Linked DNA regions of Pelodiscus sinensis. The protein of the gene in region 2 purifies or fractionates together with the protein of the main gene of each other region. This does not show direct contact. Links are inferred from orthologs where the notes say so. Each region holds a gene or a part of one and is shown on either strand. Other genes may lie near its edges.

Region 1 (7,905 bases), on a different chromosome or scaffold from region 2:
TTCCAGGGCTGGTTTTGTTCAATATCTTTATTAGTGACCTGGCTGAGGGGATGGATTGCACCCTCAGCAAGTTTGCACATGACACTAAGCTGGGGGAGAGGTAGATACGCTGGAGGGCAGGGAGAGGGTCCAGAGGGACCTAGACGGGTTAGAGACTTGAGCCAAAAGAAACCTGATGAGGTTCAACAAGGACAAGTGCAGAGTCCTGCCCTTGGGACGGAAGAATCCCAAGAATTGGTACAGGCTGGGACCGACTGGCTAAGTAGCAGTTCTGCAGAAAAGGACCTGGGGGTTACAGTGGATGAGAAGCTGGATATGAGTCACCAGGGCGCCCTTGTAGCCAAGAAGGCTAATGGCATATTAGGTGCATTAGGAGGAGCATTGCCAGCAGATCCAGAGATGTCATCATTCCCCTTTATTCGGCTCTGGTGAGGCCACATCTGGAGTGTTGTGTCCAGTTCTGGGGCCCCCACTACAAAAAGGATGTGGACGCATTGGAGAGGGTCCAGCGGAGGCAACCAAAATGATTAGGGGCCTGGAGCACATGACCTATGAGGAGAGGCTGAGGGATTTGGGTCTGTTTAGTCTGCAGAAGCGAAGAGTGAGGGGGGATTTGAGAGCAGCCTTCAACTTCCTGAAGGGAGGTTCCAAAGAGGATGGAGAGAGGCTGTTCTCAGTGGTAGCAGAAGCAGAACAAGGAGCAATGGGTCTAGTTGCAGTGGGGAAGGTCCAGGTTGGATATTAGGAAAAACGATTTCCCTAGGCGGGTGGGGAAGCCCTGTGCTGGGTTCCCTGGGGTGTTACCCACCACCTCTGTGATTCTTGGGGAACCAGAACATGGTCGCCTGTCAGCCTTGTGCTCTTGGGGAGTCAGGGAGTGACATTCATGGAAAACCATCCCCCTCCCTCAGGCCTCTGCTAGAATCAAAGACAAAGCAAAGAAAAGGCCAGGGAAGACACACCTAAACTGCTTCAGACAAGGGTGATACAATTAAGGAAACACCCCAGCCTCATTTGCATTAAAGATGGAACAGAGGGACATCTCATTAGCATACAGAATGGAGAGCAGCTCTTCCAAGGCAGGAACCGCACTGAACTATGGGACACCGAAAGCAGAGAAGCACTGCCTGATGGGAAATCCCTGCTCCAGATGCTAATGAACCTAGGCCTGCTCACACCCAAATTAGTCATTATCAGACCAATTCTAGTAACGATCCTATTGACATCTAAAATACTGAAACTGCCTAGTTGCATTGTGAGCTCGTTCAAGGAACATCCCCCATAACCAGGGGTGATCAGTCTCTATTGTCTCTCCTCTTTCTCTTTGAACTATCCCTATAAAAACTCCTGTCCTTGTCCCAAGAAAACTGTTCTGATACCTGGACTTAAACTGCATCAGTTCCATTGAGACTTCTTCATCTCCTGTCTGATCGTGCTGGGGGCTCTGTCCTGCTTTTCTCCTGCCCTCTGGACCCCCGGCTACCATCATCATCTGGGAACCCCGATCAGTGCAAGCTCCGTGGAGTGGTGAGGTCTCTCTCTCTCTCTCTTTCTCTCTCTCTCTCTCAACTATCTCTCTGAGCATAGCCTCCTGACCCTGCCCTGTGTAAACTGTTATATGGTTACCTAACATTTGTAAGCAGCTTCAATTTAGATTTAATATTGTAATTGTTAGATTTAATATTGTAACTGTTTGATATCTATTCACTACTCAGAAATAAATCACTTTCATTGTTAAGCTGGTTGCTTCTCTCTCTTTCTTTCTCTTTTGCTCACTCTTCCTTAAGGGGTGTGGTTTTGACTTCCCCATTCGCTCTGCAACAACGCTTCTTGTACCCAAGCAAAAGATCCCTGTAGTGCCCAAAATCCTGTGGGGTTTGCTCATCGTGTGGTTTACCAGTGAATGACTGTGGTGTGAAAGTGGGGATAGGGGGTGCTGAACCTGGGGGCTTATGAGGATGGCAGCTTAAAGTGCTGTTTAATCCAGCCCATGGAGTCCAAAGGCACATGAGGGTGCAGTGTGGCATTGCTGTGAAACCCAGCCAGCTGAGTCCAGGGACATAGGAGGGGGTCAGCTTGTGAGTGCTGAGTACCCAGTCCTCTCAGACGTGCTCTGACTAGTGTGTGTGAGTGTCTGTGTGTGTTGCTAAGGTGGGAAGAACCCCATCCTGAGGAACCTAGTTCCTGCAGGAGAGCTCCAGTGGGAGGGGGAATTGGCAGCAGGGAGAATTCAGCTCCATATGAGAGCCCCAGTAAGCACCAACAGCACACTGATAGAACTGTTAACCTTCCCCCAGTCCCATAAGGGTAACCCTGATAAATGAGCATACCCCAGAGTATTGGGCAAATCTGGTAACAGGGGAGGGGGTGGAGTCTCCATCCTTAGGGGTGTTTAAGTCCTGGCTGGACCAAGCCTGGCTGGGCTGATTGAATTGGGGCTGGTCCGGCTTTGGGCAGGGGCTGGACTCGATGCCTCCTGAGGTCTCTTCCATTCCTGGGGTTCTATGAGGCGCACGCACAGACACACGCACACAGAGTCACTACAGAACAGGGCACTGGCATCACGTGCCACAGTGAACACGCACCCAGAGTGAGCACGGGGACTGCAAGAGCGCCCCCGATCCCCGCTGCCTCGCCAATGAGAAGCCCAAGAAGAAGGACGGTCAGTTCCCCGCAGTCGAGCCCTGGTCTCTTCAGTGGGAGCGTGTAACTTCCAGCCCTGGGGGTTTGTCGCACGCCTGCACTCGGGCGCCTACACCCCCACCTCCCTTGCAGCCCGTCGCTCCAGGCGTGTCTGTGCCACACAGGTCCAACGCCGGCCTGCTGCTAAGAGCCGACGGTGCAAACAGGCCTGTGAACACAAAGCCTCCGCCCCCGCACGAGGCCTTCGCTGTGTCAGCAGCAGAGCGCGCCCGCTGACCACGCAGCGCTCGCATGTTCGGCAAAGCGCTGCGGCTCCTGGGGGCCTTTGCCGATCACGGACAAGGGGGCCCAATCCAAGCCAAACCGGCGTTTACATTCGGGGGGAACGGCGACGGGGCACGCGGGTAGGCGGCGCTGCCAGGAATTTACCACCAGCTCTGCCCCCGCCAGAGGCCAGGCTCCCACGCTGACGATGGGCGTTCAGAAAGGTGGCACTGAAAGTTGTGGCTGGACACCCGAGGGGGGTGCCGTACCCCTGCTGCACGGCACCCGCCTTCTGCCCTGCCGCTCGCCATCCAGCCGGGGGTGGCGGACGTCCGCGGGGAGAACACGGGCTGCAGAGCCGGGACCCAGGCGAGCTGGCAGAAGATGGCTCTGGCGCCCTGCCCGAGGCGGAAGCACCTTCCAGCAGCTGAGAGTGGCGAGGGGCAGAGCTTGTGCTCAGAAGTCTTAAAAAAGGAGCATCCAGTGTGGAAACCAGAGCTCGGGGGCCCCGAAAGGGGAGCTCTGTCCTGCGGGGGGCAGACCGGACGCTGGACAGCAGTGGGCAAGCGCCAGCCACGCTGCGGTGGAGCCTGACGCCCACGTGTGCCCCAGGGTGCACCCGCCAGTGGCAGGGCTGGGGCACCCGGTGGCGCCCCTGCTTCTCTGACCCTCCAGGGCCCTTGAAAGGGAGCGAGGAGCAGGGGCTGTGTGACCGGAGCCCAGGGCGCTAGTCCAGGGCTGGCACTTAGGGATGGACCCCAGCTGCCATGCTTTGGGTGCTTCCCCCCCCCCCGTGTAAATGTGTGGGGCCTGGCGTGGCGCAGCCTTCAGTCGGGGGTGAGGCTGGGGGTCAGGGTAGGGCGCTGGCTCCCGTGTGTGGGGCTGTCTGGGCTGGGCTCCTGCTCCGGGCATGGGGACCTCAGCTCGGGTTCCCCCCCCCCGGCCAAAACTGCGAGAGCAGAGCTGCACCCTGGCTCCCTGGGACGTGGCGCCCTGGCCCCCCGCCAGCATGGTGCTGGGTGGCCCTGGGAGCCCAGAGCTTGCAGAGCCTGGGGCCCAAGCCGGGCCCCGTCCCCCGGGCTGAGAGCCCAGGAGCACCGGCCGGGGGCTGCCGAGCCACCGCCCTGGAGGTGCTGAGAGTGGCAAGGCCTTGGCACAGCCCATGGGGGAACGAAGGGCTGGAGTGTGCGAGGTCCCTGCTCCTCCCCCCCTGCCCCTGGAGCGGGGTCCTTGCCCCTCCCCCCACACCCTGGAGCGGGGTCCTTGCCCCTCCCCCCACACCCTGGAGCGGGATCCTTGCCCCTCCCCCCATACCCTGGAGCGGGGTCCTTGCCCCTGCCCCTCCCCCCATACCCTGGAGCGGGGTCCTTGCCCCTCCCCCCATACCCTGGAGCGGGATCCTTGCCCCTCCCCCCATGCCCCTGGAGCGGGGTCCTTGCCCCTCCCCCCATACCCCTGGAGCGGGATCCTTGCCCCTCCCCCCATACCCCTGGAGCGGGATCCTTGCCCCTCCCCCCATGCCCCTGGAGCGGGGTCCTTGCCCCTCCCCCCATTCCCCTGGAGCGGGGTCCTTGCCCCTCCCCCCATACCTCTGGAGCGGGGTCCTTGCCCCTCCCCCCATGCCCCTGGAGCGGGATCCTTGCCCCTCCCCCCATGCCCCTGGAGCGGGGTCCTTGCCCCTCCCCCCATACCCTGGAGCGGGGTCCTTGCCCCTGCCCCTCCCCCCATACCCTGGAGCGGGGTCCTTGCCCCTCCCCCCATACTCTGGAGCGGGATCCTTGCCCCTCCCCCCATACCCTGGAGCGGGTCCCTCGCGGCGGGGACACGCCAGCCCCTTGGGGACCCTCCCGAGCGCCGGGGCGGGGCGGGACAAAGCCGGACTACAGCTCCCGGCATGCCCGGGCGGGGGGGGGGCGGTCCGTGCCCCCCGCAACCCGCCCCGCCCGCCGCGCGCAGGGCGTTCCGAGCCGGCCGGGCGCGCAGCACCCAGCGCAGCGCAGCGCACCGAGCGAGCGGGGCTGCGGGCTGCGGGATGCGCCGGGCCGGGGGCGCTGCGCCTAGTCCCGTCCGCTCCTGACAAAGGGAGGGTGGAGCCGGCGGGCAGGGAAGCGCAGCAGCCGCCGCAGCGCAGCGCCCCGCCCGGCCCCCGCGCCCGCTCCTGCCCCGGCCCCCGCCCCCAGCCCGCTCCTGCCCCGGCCCCCGCCCCGCGCCCGCTCCTGCCCCGGCCCCCGCCCGCCATGGCCGGCAGAGCCCGGCCCAGCGAGGCCCTCAAGGTCGTGGCTCGCTGCCGCCCCATGAGCCGGAAGGAGGCGGCGGCCGGCGCCGAGAGGGTCCTGGAGATGGACGTGAAGCTGGGCCAGGTGACCCTGCGCAACCCCCGGGCCGCCCCCGGCGAGCTGGCCAAGACCTTCACCTTCGACGCCGTGTACGACGCCAGCTCCAGGCAGGCCGACCTGTACGACGAGAGCGTCCGGCCCCTGATCGACTCCGTCCTGCAGGGCTTCAACGGCACCATCCTCGCCTACGGCCAGACGGGCACGGGCAAGACCTACACCATGCAGGGGGCCTGGGCCGACCCCGAGAAGCGCGGGGTCATCCCCAGCTCCTTCGAGCACGTCTTCACCCACATCTCGCGCTCCCACAACCAGCAGTACCTGGTGCGGGCCTCCTACCTGGAGATCTACCAGGAGGAGATCCGGGACCTCCTGGCGAAGGACCAGAGCAAGAAGCTGGAGCTGAAGGAGAACCCGGAGACGGGCGTCTACATCAAAGACCTCTCCTCCTTCGTGACCAAGAGCGTCAAGGAGATCGAGCACGTCATGAACCTGGGCAGCCAGGCCCGGGCGGTGGGCAGCACCAACATGAACGAGCACAGCTCGCGCTCCCACGCCATCTTCGCCATCACGGTGGAGTGCAGCCAGGCCGGCCCGGACGGGGAGGACCACATCCGCGTGGGCAAGCTCAACCTGGTGGACTTGGCAGGCAGCGAGCGCCAGAGCAAAATGGGGGGGCCCGGGGAGCGGCCCAAGGAGGCCTCCAAGATTAACCTCTCCCTCTCGGCGCTGGGCAACGTCATCTCGGCGCTGGTGGACGGCAAGAGCACCCACGTGCCCTACAGAGACTCCAAGCTGACCCGGCTCCTGCAGGACTCCCTGGGCGGCAACGCCAAGACCCTCATGGTGGCCACCCTGGGCCCCGCCTCGCACAGCTACGAGGAGAGCCTGTCCACGCTGCGCTTCGCCAGCCGGGCCAAGAACATCCGCAACAAGCCCCGGGTCAACGAGGACCCCAAGGACACGCTGCTGCGGGAGTTCCAGGAGGAGATCGCCCGGCTCAAGGCCCAGCTGGAGCGCCGGGGCATGCTGGGCAGGAAGCGCAGGCGGAGCAGCCGCAGGAAGAAGGTGGCGGTGGGGGAGGCCGCCCCGGAGGCGGGCGGGGACGAGGACACGGAGGACGGGCTGGAGAAGTACTTGCAGGAGCAGGAGGAGCGGCTGGAGGAGGAGAAGGCGGCAATCCAGGGGGACCACAGCCTGGTGTGCGAGGAGAAGCAGAAGATGATTGAGGAGCTGAGGAGGGAGCAAGAGGCCACCGAGCTGCTGGCCACAAAGTACAAGGTGAGTGTCGGTGTGCTGGGGGGCTGCTTCCCTGGGCGGGCCGGGCGCTGGAGCCTGGGGGCCGGGCCGGGCGCTGGAGCCTGGGGGCCGGGCCGGGTGCTGGAGCCTGGGGGCCGGGCCTGTTTCCCTGGGCGGGCCGGGCGCTGGAGCCTGGGATCCAGGCTGGGCGCTGGAGCCTGGAGGCCGGGCGCAGGGCCTTTTTCCCTGGGCGGGCCGGGCCGGGCGCTGGAGCCTGGGGTCCAGGCTGGGCGCTGGAGCCTGGAGGCCGGGCGCAGGGCCTTTTTCCCTGGGCGGGCCGGGCCGGGCGCTGGAGCCTGGGGGCCGGGCCTGTTTCCCTGGGCGGGCCGGGCGCTGGAGCCTGGGATCCAGGCTGGGCGCTGGAGCCTGGAGGCTGGGCGCAGGGCCTTTTTCCCTGGGCGGGCCGGGCCGGGCGCTGGAGCCTGGGGTCCAGGCTGGGCGCTGGAGCCTGGAGGCCGGGCGCAGGGCCTTTTTCCCTGGGCGGGCCGGGCTGGGCGCTGGAGCCTGGGGTCCAGGCTGGGCGCTGGAGCCTGGGGGCCAGGCGCGGGGCCTGTTTCCCTGGGCGGGCCGGGCCGGGCGCTGGAGCCTGGGGGCCGGGCCGGGCGCTGGAGCCTGGGGGCCGGGCCGGGCGGTGCACCTGCAGCGTTGGGCTTGTTTACGTGCTGCGCTGCCGTGGGTCCCTGGACAGCGCCCTGCTGTTGGCTGCCTGGCGTGGCCCCACTCACTGGGGCGGGCTGGGGGCGCAGGGTGGGCTGAGTTCGTCAGGGCCGTCAGGCGTCCTGGCCCCGCTCCCTCCTGCCGACGTGCTGGCAGCGCCGGGGCCGGGGATGCTGCAGACGCCCCGGGAGGGGAGCTCCCAGCTGGGCACGGAGCCAGTGGGAGCCCCAGGCCCTCTGCCTCCCTATTGTCTCCCGCTGGGAGGTGCCGCCAGGCGCTGCCGCTCGGCTCTGGGGCCCGGTGTCCCTGCTGCAGCCTGGGGAGCCCAGGGGTCCCCGTGTCCTCCTGCCCCCCCAGCTCACAACGGTCCTGGGGGGAGGCGGCTCGTGTTACGCAGCCCTGGCCGGAGACTCACACCGACTGCCCCGCGGGGGCAGAGACCAGGCAGCTTGTGGCTCCGTGGTAGGGACTGTGGATCTGGGGCGTGGCACATGGCACAGCCCCCCCAGCATGCTGCACTGTGCAGAGTGGGGGGCATGTGGCTTGCAGCACAGTCCCCTCCCCCCCCAGCATGCTGCACTGTGCAGAGTGGGGGGGGCATGTGGCTTGCAGCACAGTCCCCTCCCCCCCCAGCATGCTGCACTGTGCAGAGTGGGGGGCATGTGGCTTGCAGCACAGTCCCCTCCCCCCCAGCATGCTGCACTGTGCA
Region 2 (7,487 bases):
TTTCCATTTCACTGCTGACCAGCGGGTGAGTGAAACAGACAAGTGTGTGTGTGCACACGCCAATCTGGGAGGAGTTTCCCACCATAATCTGCCACACCACAAAGCAGTACGGGTACGTGGACCATTGGTTGGTAGAGGGAAGAAAAGAAGTGGGTGTTACATGCAGCCGACCATCAGGAGAGCTGGATTCTATTGTTGGCTCTGCCACTGCCTTGGGGTGAGACCTTTGGCAAGTTACTTCAAGCTTTGTGCCTCACTTGGTCTGAAAACTTGGGACACATGGGGACATGGATTCCAAGGAATCCAGATACGACCTCCTATGAAATGCGGCTCGAAAACACAGGAACAATGCAGAATCTGGAAAATCACCTCAGTTCAAAACTGAGAGTAGAATCTGAAGACACCATTGGCTTTGAGTAACTGCGTCCCATCCCATTCCAGGACTCACGCAGTTAAAAAGTAGCATGTGTGCAGAGTCCCCCGGAACTGTATCATAATCAAGACATGAAAAGTTTGAGGTGGCTAACGTCTTCTTGCCAAAGCTGGGGATTAGGAGTCTGAGCAAGCAGTTAATCAAAAATAAAAGAAGAAACTTGTAAGTGACCTGACAAGGAACATTTAAATCTTATTTTTAAAGGGTTAGGTCGTACCAAGCCTTGGAAAATTAAATCCTCAGCTATCTCCAGAGAACTATATCTCACTAAAAAGGCTTCAGGTAAGTTTATCATGTATCCGACACCTAGACATTGGGCCTGGGGGATTCCTAGGATAATATTTCCTCTGGATTAGCAAGAAAGCTAGCAAGTAACATTTGCATGAGGCAAACTTTAAATGTAGGGGTTTTTTCCTATTACAAAATGATAACATTAAAAATGAGCTTATTGCAAAAGAAAACTGCTATGGCATCCCCCACTTTTATCAGGGAAAAAAGTCTCTTAACTTTGTTTCATTTGGTAACGTAACTGATTCAGTTCCAATGTTTTTGCGTGTTTTCTCCCTTCCACATTGACTACTAGCCCGAATTTCTTTTTATGAGCAATGCTGTTAACTTCTTTTATGAGCAATGCTTTTGAGTTCGGAGACCTCTGAGACTGGCATAATATGCAAGAGAAAAATTCAAGAGGGGAAGCTGTCGTAAGCATTTCTGGATTGGCTCTTCTGGAGTGGACCTCGCAACCTTCCAGGTCTTTCCTTCTTCGGCCCTGAAAAGCCAACTACTTGTCTCACTGTAAGACAATTGCTACGTCCCTGTCACCCTTGGGAAATTTTATACCAGAGGAGGTGCATACTCAGGCTGAGCCGGGTGAGCTAAGGACAGAGTTTGTACGATGTCTCTAATATTCGAGAGCCAAGGATGAGAAGTGCTTTATAGATGAAAAGGCCTTGGTCAAATCAAACTCCACCTTTAGTACATTGTGTTTTAGTGGTAGATGTGTGTAGGTAGCTACCTAACGTTCACCGGGGGGTGGGAGGAAGACAGGCACATAGCTAATGTGGCTGGTGTGCCCCTTAGTGCAGGAGACAGACTAGTTTGTGCACTTATATGACGATGCCTGTAAAGATGTCTAGGAGAACACGTACCAAGAGAACCCTGCAAATGTGCAGGTATTTGCTTTGCATCTGCAGGTAGCCGGATGTGAATACCTGCAGCTCATTTTTGCAGCTATGGATGCAGAAACCAATTTTGTACCTAGAATCCTGCAAATTTGCGGATATCCGTTTCCCATCCACGGGTATCGGATCTGCGAATGTGGATGCAAATACCCACAGCTCATTTCTGCAGATACAGATAGCAATTTTGTATCCGCCCAGAGTTCTGGGTATCAAACAGGAGGCACCTGTAGCTGCTAAAATTACACAGGAGAGGCCGCAAGACAGGACTGACCCAAACAATTCACAGATGGGAACTGAATTAGGGGAAAACCTGAGGATCAGGCATTAGATATACTGGCTTTAGAAAAGGTTCAGAGAAAGGCAACTAAAATGATGAGGGGTTTGGAACGGGTCCCATCTGAGGAGAGATTAAAGAGACTTGGACTTTTTGACCAGACTTCCCCTTAGCGTATCCGATTTTGCTTCGTCTTTTCTCACTGTTTCTTTCTAATGTAAATATTTAAGCTGAGTGTTTACTACCCAATCGGTAACGATGAGACTGCACGTGAGGCCTCCAGGAATTCTCCCCCTAGGACTGTCTGGGTGTGAACCCTTATTGTGGTTAGTTAGTCACCTTATCAGGCAACAACCTTTTATTTTAGCTACTAAGTTTCCAAGAGGATTTTTATACAGACCATTCATTTACAAGAGGGCCACAGAACAGACATGCAGCCACATTTTCCCTTAAGAGACAGACCCAGGATTCACCATGCAGAAGAGGGTACAGAGGGAGAGACCTTAGATTACGAGGGTCTCCTGTACTCTATTCAATTTGTAATAGTTTTGTTTTCCAGTGAGAAACAATGTTGCTAGGTTGGTTTAGTCTGTTTTTCACTAAGAAACTGAATAAACCCCAAAAGATTCAGTCAGGCTCTGAAGCAAATCAGAGTCCTTCCACTTACCTCAAGTACCACTGATGTTCACGGAAAGATTCCTGTTGACTTGATCGTGCCCAAAGGACATCCATATCCTTTGAGTCGGGATGACCTTTCTTTTATATGCAAAGAGCAACAAAACAAGAAGGAACAAAAATAAAGTTTCCCTGAGAGAGAGCACAGTGTGTGAGCCTCTCCTGCAGCAGCCTGTGTCCGAGCTGAGAAATTCTATGTTTTCAGTGAAAAATTTCAAACGGGGATGAAAATTTTTCACTTGGATTAAAAAATTGGTGTAAGATTTTGGACGTTTCATTCCATGAAACCCAAACGTTTGGTTTTCCATTTTCCTTCTTCCTTTTATCCTTCCCCTTGCTTTTCTTTCTGCCCCTGGAAAAGTGGGGACAAAGAAAAAAAAGCAGAGGAAGGAGAAATAAAAGACAGATGGTTTCCACTCTAAAATCATAATATTTACACACACAAACATTTCATTTTGGTCAAAAAGCTATTTTTCATTAAGGAAAAAAAAAAGTTTCAGCAAAAACATTTCAACCAACCACGGTCTGAACAAAAATAGGAGCTGCCTCTGCAATTAGAATGAAATACAAATAGAAACCAGATCAATGCTATATACAGCACACTTTACACTATAACCCAGGGCTACTCAACTTTGGAAGCTCCGGGGACAACAATGATACTCGCAGCACATGCTGAGGGCCACAACTTAAGTATGGTTGCACGTACATGCAAATATATATGCAAATTTATGCAAATAGCTTCTTTCACACTGACAGGCATGAATACAAAGATTAAGGCAAGACTACACAACACGCAGGCCCCATTTAAGTCCATTCTGCTGATATTAGTAAAATGCAATATTTACCTGATTTCCACTCATATGCCAGCACTTTTAACGAGCAATGACAGTCCAGGAATTTAACTACTAAAACGCACATCAACAGAAGACCATTATATTGACTACTTTTTTGTTTTGGCTCCCACCTGTGGGTTGTGTGTTGAGCCCCATACAAACCCAAACTGTACCACATGCCGCAAACTAACGGGCCGTGCCATGTTGAAGTCAGGAGCCTTGCTCTAATCTGTAATTGTAGGTGGCTTCACGATTCCTGTCTAGCCTCTGTCTTTTGAGATCACTCTTCAAATTCTTGCTTTTCTCCCAGTCTCTCTTTCATGCCATTGCACATCTTTTTATTTCCCCGTCTCCATACATCCCTCTCATCATGTTTCCTTTCACTTCCTCTTCTCCTGCCTTGGTTCTTTCAATAACGCTCACCCTCTTTCCCTCTCTGCTCCGCTTTCTCCCATTGTTAATTCTTTTCTTTCAGCTGCCCCCCAGCCCAGGTTTTACTTAGAACCAGCTGGTCTGAAATCTTTCAAAACAAAACCCCAAACAAACAAACAGGTATTCAGAGAGCGCTGTTGATCCGCTGATTGTGAAACACACCTGGTATGCAGTACCTTTGCTTTGCAGCCAGCTCTGCCTTAGGGCTTGTCTATACTTACTTTAGGATCCATGGTCCGGGGATGTAAGAAAAGAATGGAATCAGTTACAGGGATCCCCACAATGGGACCAGAAACAATTCAGAGCTCAGGTAAAGGCAGATTAAAGATTCCAGGAGGTTACGTGCATTAAAACTGTCTCCTGACACATCAGGAGGACAACAGATCCCACATTTGCTTTCCAAAAATGATGCCGGATGGATGTTTTACAGGTCGGGCTGGGAAGGTGTGGAAAGAAGACGGACAAATCAGTACCGGCTTGCCCACTGCAACCTTCCCCATCCCACCCACGGCTCTTCAGCCATGGCAGCGAGTCATCGTGATGTCACAGTTCAGCCCAGTTGTGTGCCGGGTCTGAGCCCCGGGGCGAGTAATCAAGCAAGAAGGTTTGGCTTTAAACGGCCTTTTCAGCTGAGGCTGCCCAAGGGCTGTGACCCGCAATGTGAGCGCGCCCCACAGGAGCGGTGGAAAGATGATAGCACAGCTGGCCACGATGGGGACGGCTCCCACACAGGACCAGACCCTGGATCCCCTCCCAAATATTGTAACCAGGTAACACTCTCTAGTCCCGTGGGAACTGCTGAAGGGGTGGCTGGCAGGGAAACATTTAGAAAAGCTGGCTCACTCCTGCTCCACTGACCCATCGGGTTGAGAACATTGTGGAAGGCAGAACTCCAGATTAGGGGGACCAATAATCCCATCCGGTGCATCAATCCTATGCCCTTTGTGGCCTTATGGGATTTCTCCCCTTCAGCGGGGTCCTTTTAGCCTCCCTCAGAGCTCCAAGACTGCCTGTCATTTCTCTTCCTTGACTGCACATTCACACTTCCCACCATTAGCCCACTGTAGCATGCAGAGTTTTGGGGACTTATTCATGATATTTATGCCTGTTTTGAATCAATTTTGCAATGTAGCCTGTCCAAGAGCTCATATACACACCTGCCTCTAGAATTTACCTCATGAGTACGCACCTCTAGACATGAGTCTACTCCACGTTGATTAGAAGGCTGCTCCAGCTAAGGAATCTGAGTTGGTTGGTTCCCGAGACAAGGTTTCAAAGGCCTGTTGTGTCTTAATGTTCTACAGAAAAACGAAAGATACAAGAAAATTACAGGGAATCATCACAGTTTTCTAATTATATACGGCCATACAAAGTCTAAATACCTGTATATCCTGCTTCTCTGCTGGATTCTGGCGACTACTGCAATAAAAGGCAGGAAGTCCTATTAGAAGGCTCCCAAACTAGTTACCCCTCAATGCTGATACATTAGACTAATGAACATAAGAACATAAGAACGGCCGTACTGGGTCAGACCAAAGGTCCATCTAGCCCAGTAGCCTGTCTACCGACAGTGGCCAGCACCAGGTGCCCCAGAGAGGGTGGACCGAAGACAATGATCAAGCGATTTGTCTCCTGCCATCCCTCTCCAGCCTCTGACAAACAGAGGCCAAGGACACCATTTTATCCCCTGGCTAATAGCCTTTTATGGACCTAACCTCCATGAATTTATCCAGCTTCTCTTTAAACTCTATTGGCCGAAAGGCTTTACAATCTGAGACAGATAGGAGAAGATATGGGGCAACAGGTAAGGTAGAGGAGGCTGTAGCAAGATTATTGGTGAGAGGAAGTTAGGAATGAAGGAAGAGTAGGACACAATTCACACTAGACGTTGGTAGCATTGCTGCTAGGTCAGAGCCGCATACTGCAGCCAGCAGCAAGGGACGGAGGCTGAATCAGAAACTTGATGTTATACATATTTTTAAGAGCTGTTTCTGTTTTGCGGGGTCATAATGACAGAAAACCCAACTTTTCATGGGGAATTTTGGAAAGTCCGCACCAGACTTCAAGCAGAATGGGGGTTAATTTTCTTTGCTGGAAGGAAAAAAAAGGACCTGGAACTATGCAGCTAAGAACCCACCCTGCTTTATTAGAATCTGGCTGGGAACCCTGGTTATCCAAAGTCGCCTTCTGATTGATGAGCTGGGGCTTTTTCATGATGCCACGGCTGTGAACCAACTCTCAAAAGCACACAGCTGGGACTCATCCCTGCTTTCCCCCCAGCAACAACACTTACACGCATGAGGTGCAATTTGCGACGTGAGAAACTCTGATGATAAGCAGCAATAATGTGGGCACGAAGAGATTTGCGGGGGAAAGCAAAGGAGAACAAGTGAAAGCTTTTAACTGTCAGGCTCCCCTTCCAGCAGCAACTGAGGTCCTGTCAGTGTAAAAGCTAAATTAGAACACTAAATTAGTGTCTAAATGCACTTTTTGATAAAAGAAAGTGAATTCATACTAGCTGTTGGCCCACAAAAGGCTGCTGAAAAGGCAGCTGGGTTTCTGGCCTTATGTTGGCACTTTCCCAAACAAATGTATCTTCTCTTATTAGCACTGTGAAATGAATATTGGCATCTTTCCTCGTGTGGCACGGGCATAGTCAGAACAGAACCTAGAAGGGTTGACATTTTAAAAAAGATTGTACAGGTTGAACCTCTCTAATCTGGCATTCTCTGGTCTGGCAACATCCGTGGTCCAGCATGATTTGAGTTAGCCGGATGGCCACGTATTGGGGCAGCCAAGTTTCCCACAGTCCCATAAAGTTTACAGCCGCCAGGCCTGGCTCTCAGTGTTCTGTACTGTTATTTAGCTCTAATTTACCCCTAAATGTCTTCTGAGAGCCCAGCAAGTAGGGGAAGTGTTGGTAATGCTGCTAGACAATATTGACCTCTCGTGGTTTTGCAAATTCTCTGGTTCAACATTGGTCAGATCCATGAGGGTGCCGGATTAGAGAGGTTCAACCTGTATTTGCCAAATTATCCCAATTTGCGTAAAAATGCCCACACGTTTTGCAAGATGTTTTGCAACATCATGCTCTTGGTATTCACCAGAAGCTGGAAGTGGATAACCAGGGATATGTCATTCAATAATTGCCCTGTTCTGTTCATTCCCCCTGAAGCACCTGGCATTGGCCACTGTTGGAAGACAGGATTCTAGGCCAGATGGACACAAGTCTGACCAAGTATGGCTGTTCTTATGTAATATTGGGGCTATGGTGCTTTGGTAAGCCATGCCTTCACTACCTGTTGGATTGATAAGCAGTGATTGATCCAGCAGCGGTCAATTTAGCATGTCTAGTACAGACACGATAAATCAACCACCGAACACTTTCCCATTGATTCTGGTACTCCACCAAAACGAGAAGAGTAGGCAAGTGGAAAAGAGAATCAGCTGTTGAATTACTGCACTGAAGATACAGTGGTAATTAAATCTAAGTACCTCGACTTCAGCTACATTATTCACACAACTGAAGTTGTGTCACTTAGCTTGAAGACCCCAGGGAGTATAAACAAGGCCTCAGACTACCTCGTTAGGGCTTACAGTCTCCACCTTTTGTGCGCTGTGTTTGCATAGTGCCTACCACAATGAGTTCCTGGTTCATG

The links.
Region 1: the proteins of KIFAP3 (region 2) and KIF3C purify together in Homo sapiens (co-immunoprecipitation; 3 studies listed by BioGRID and IntAct, counting the BioPlex papers as one, with this or other methods). This does not show direct contact. The link is inferred for Pelodiscus sinensis from reciprocal best matches to the Homo sapiens genes KIFAP3 and KIF3C.

The regions. Positions count from the first base shown.
Region 1 is NC_134713.1:157,836-165,740, forward strand, and holds the start of KIF3C (kinesin-like protein KIF3C), read left to right. Parts: upstream 1-4,854; 5' UTR 4,855-5,144; coding exon 5,145-6,521; intron 6,522-7,905.
Region 2 is NC_134719.1:63,602,770-63,610,256, reverse strand, and holds the start of KIFAP3 (kinesin-associated protein 3), read left to right. Parts: upstream 1-4,421; 5' UTR 4,422-4,518; coding exon 4,519-4,598; intron 4,599-5,017; exon of another isoform or gene 5,018-5,126; intron 5,127-5,210; exon of another isoform or gene 5,211-5,247; intron 5,248-7,487. UniProt on the Homo sapiens protein: Involved in tethering the chromosomes to the spindle pole and in chromosome movement. Binds to the tail domain of the KIF3A/KIF3B heterodimer to form a heterotrimeric KIF3 complex and may regulate the membrane binding of this complex.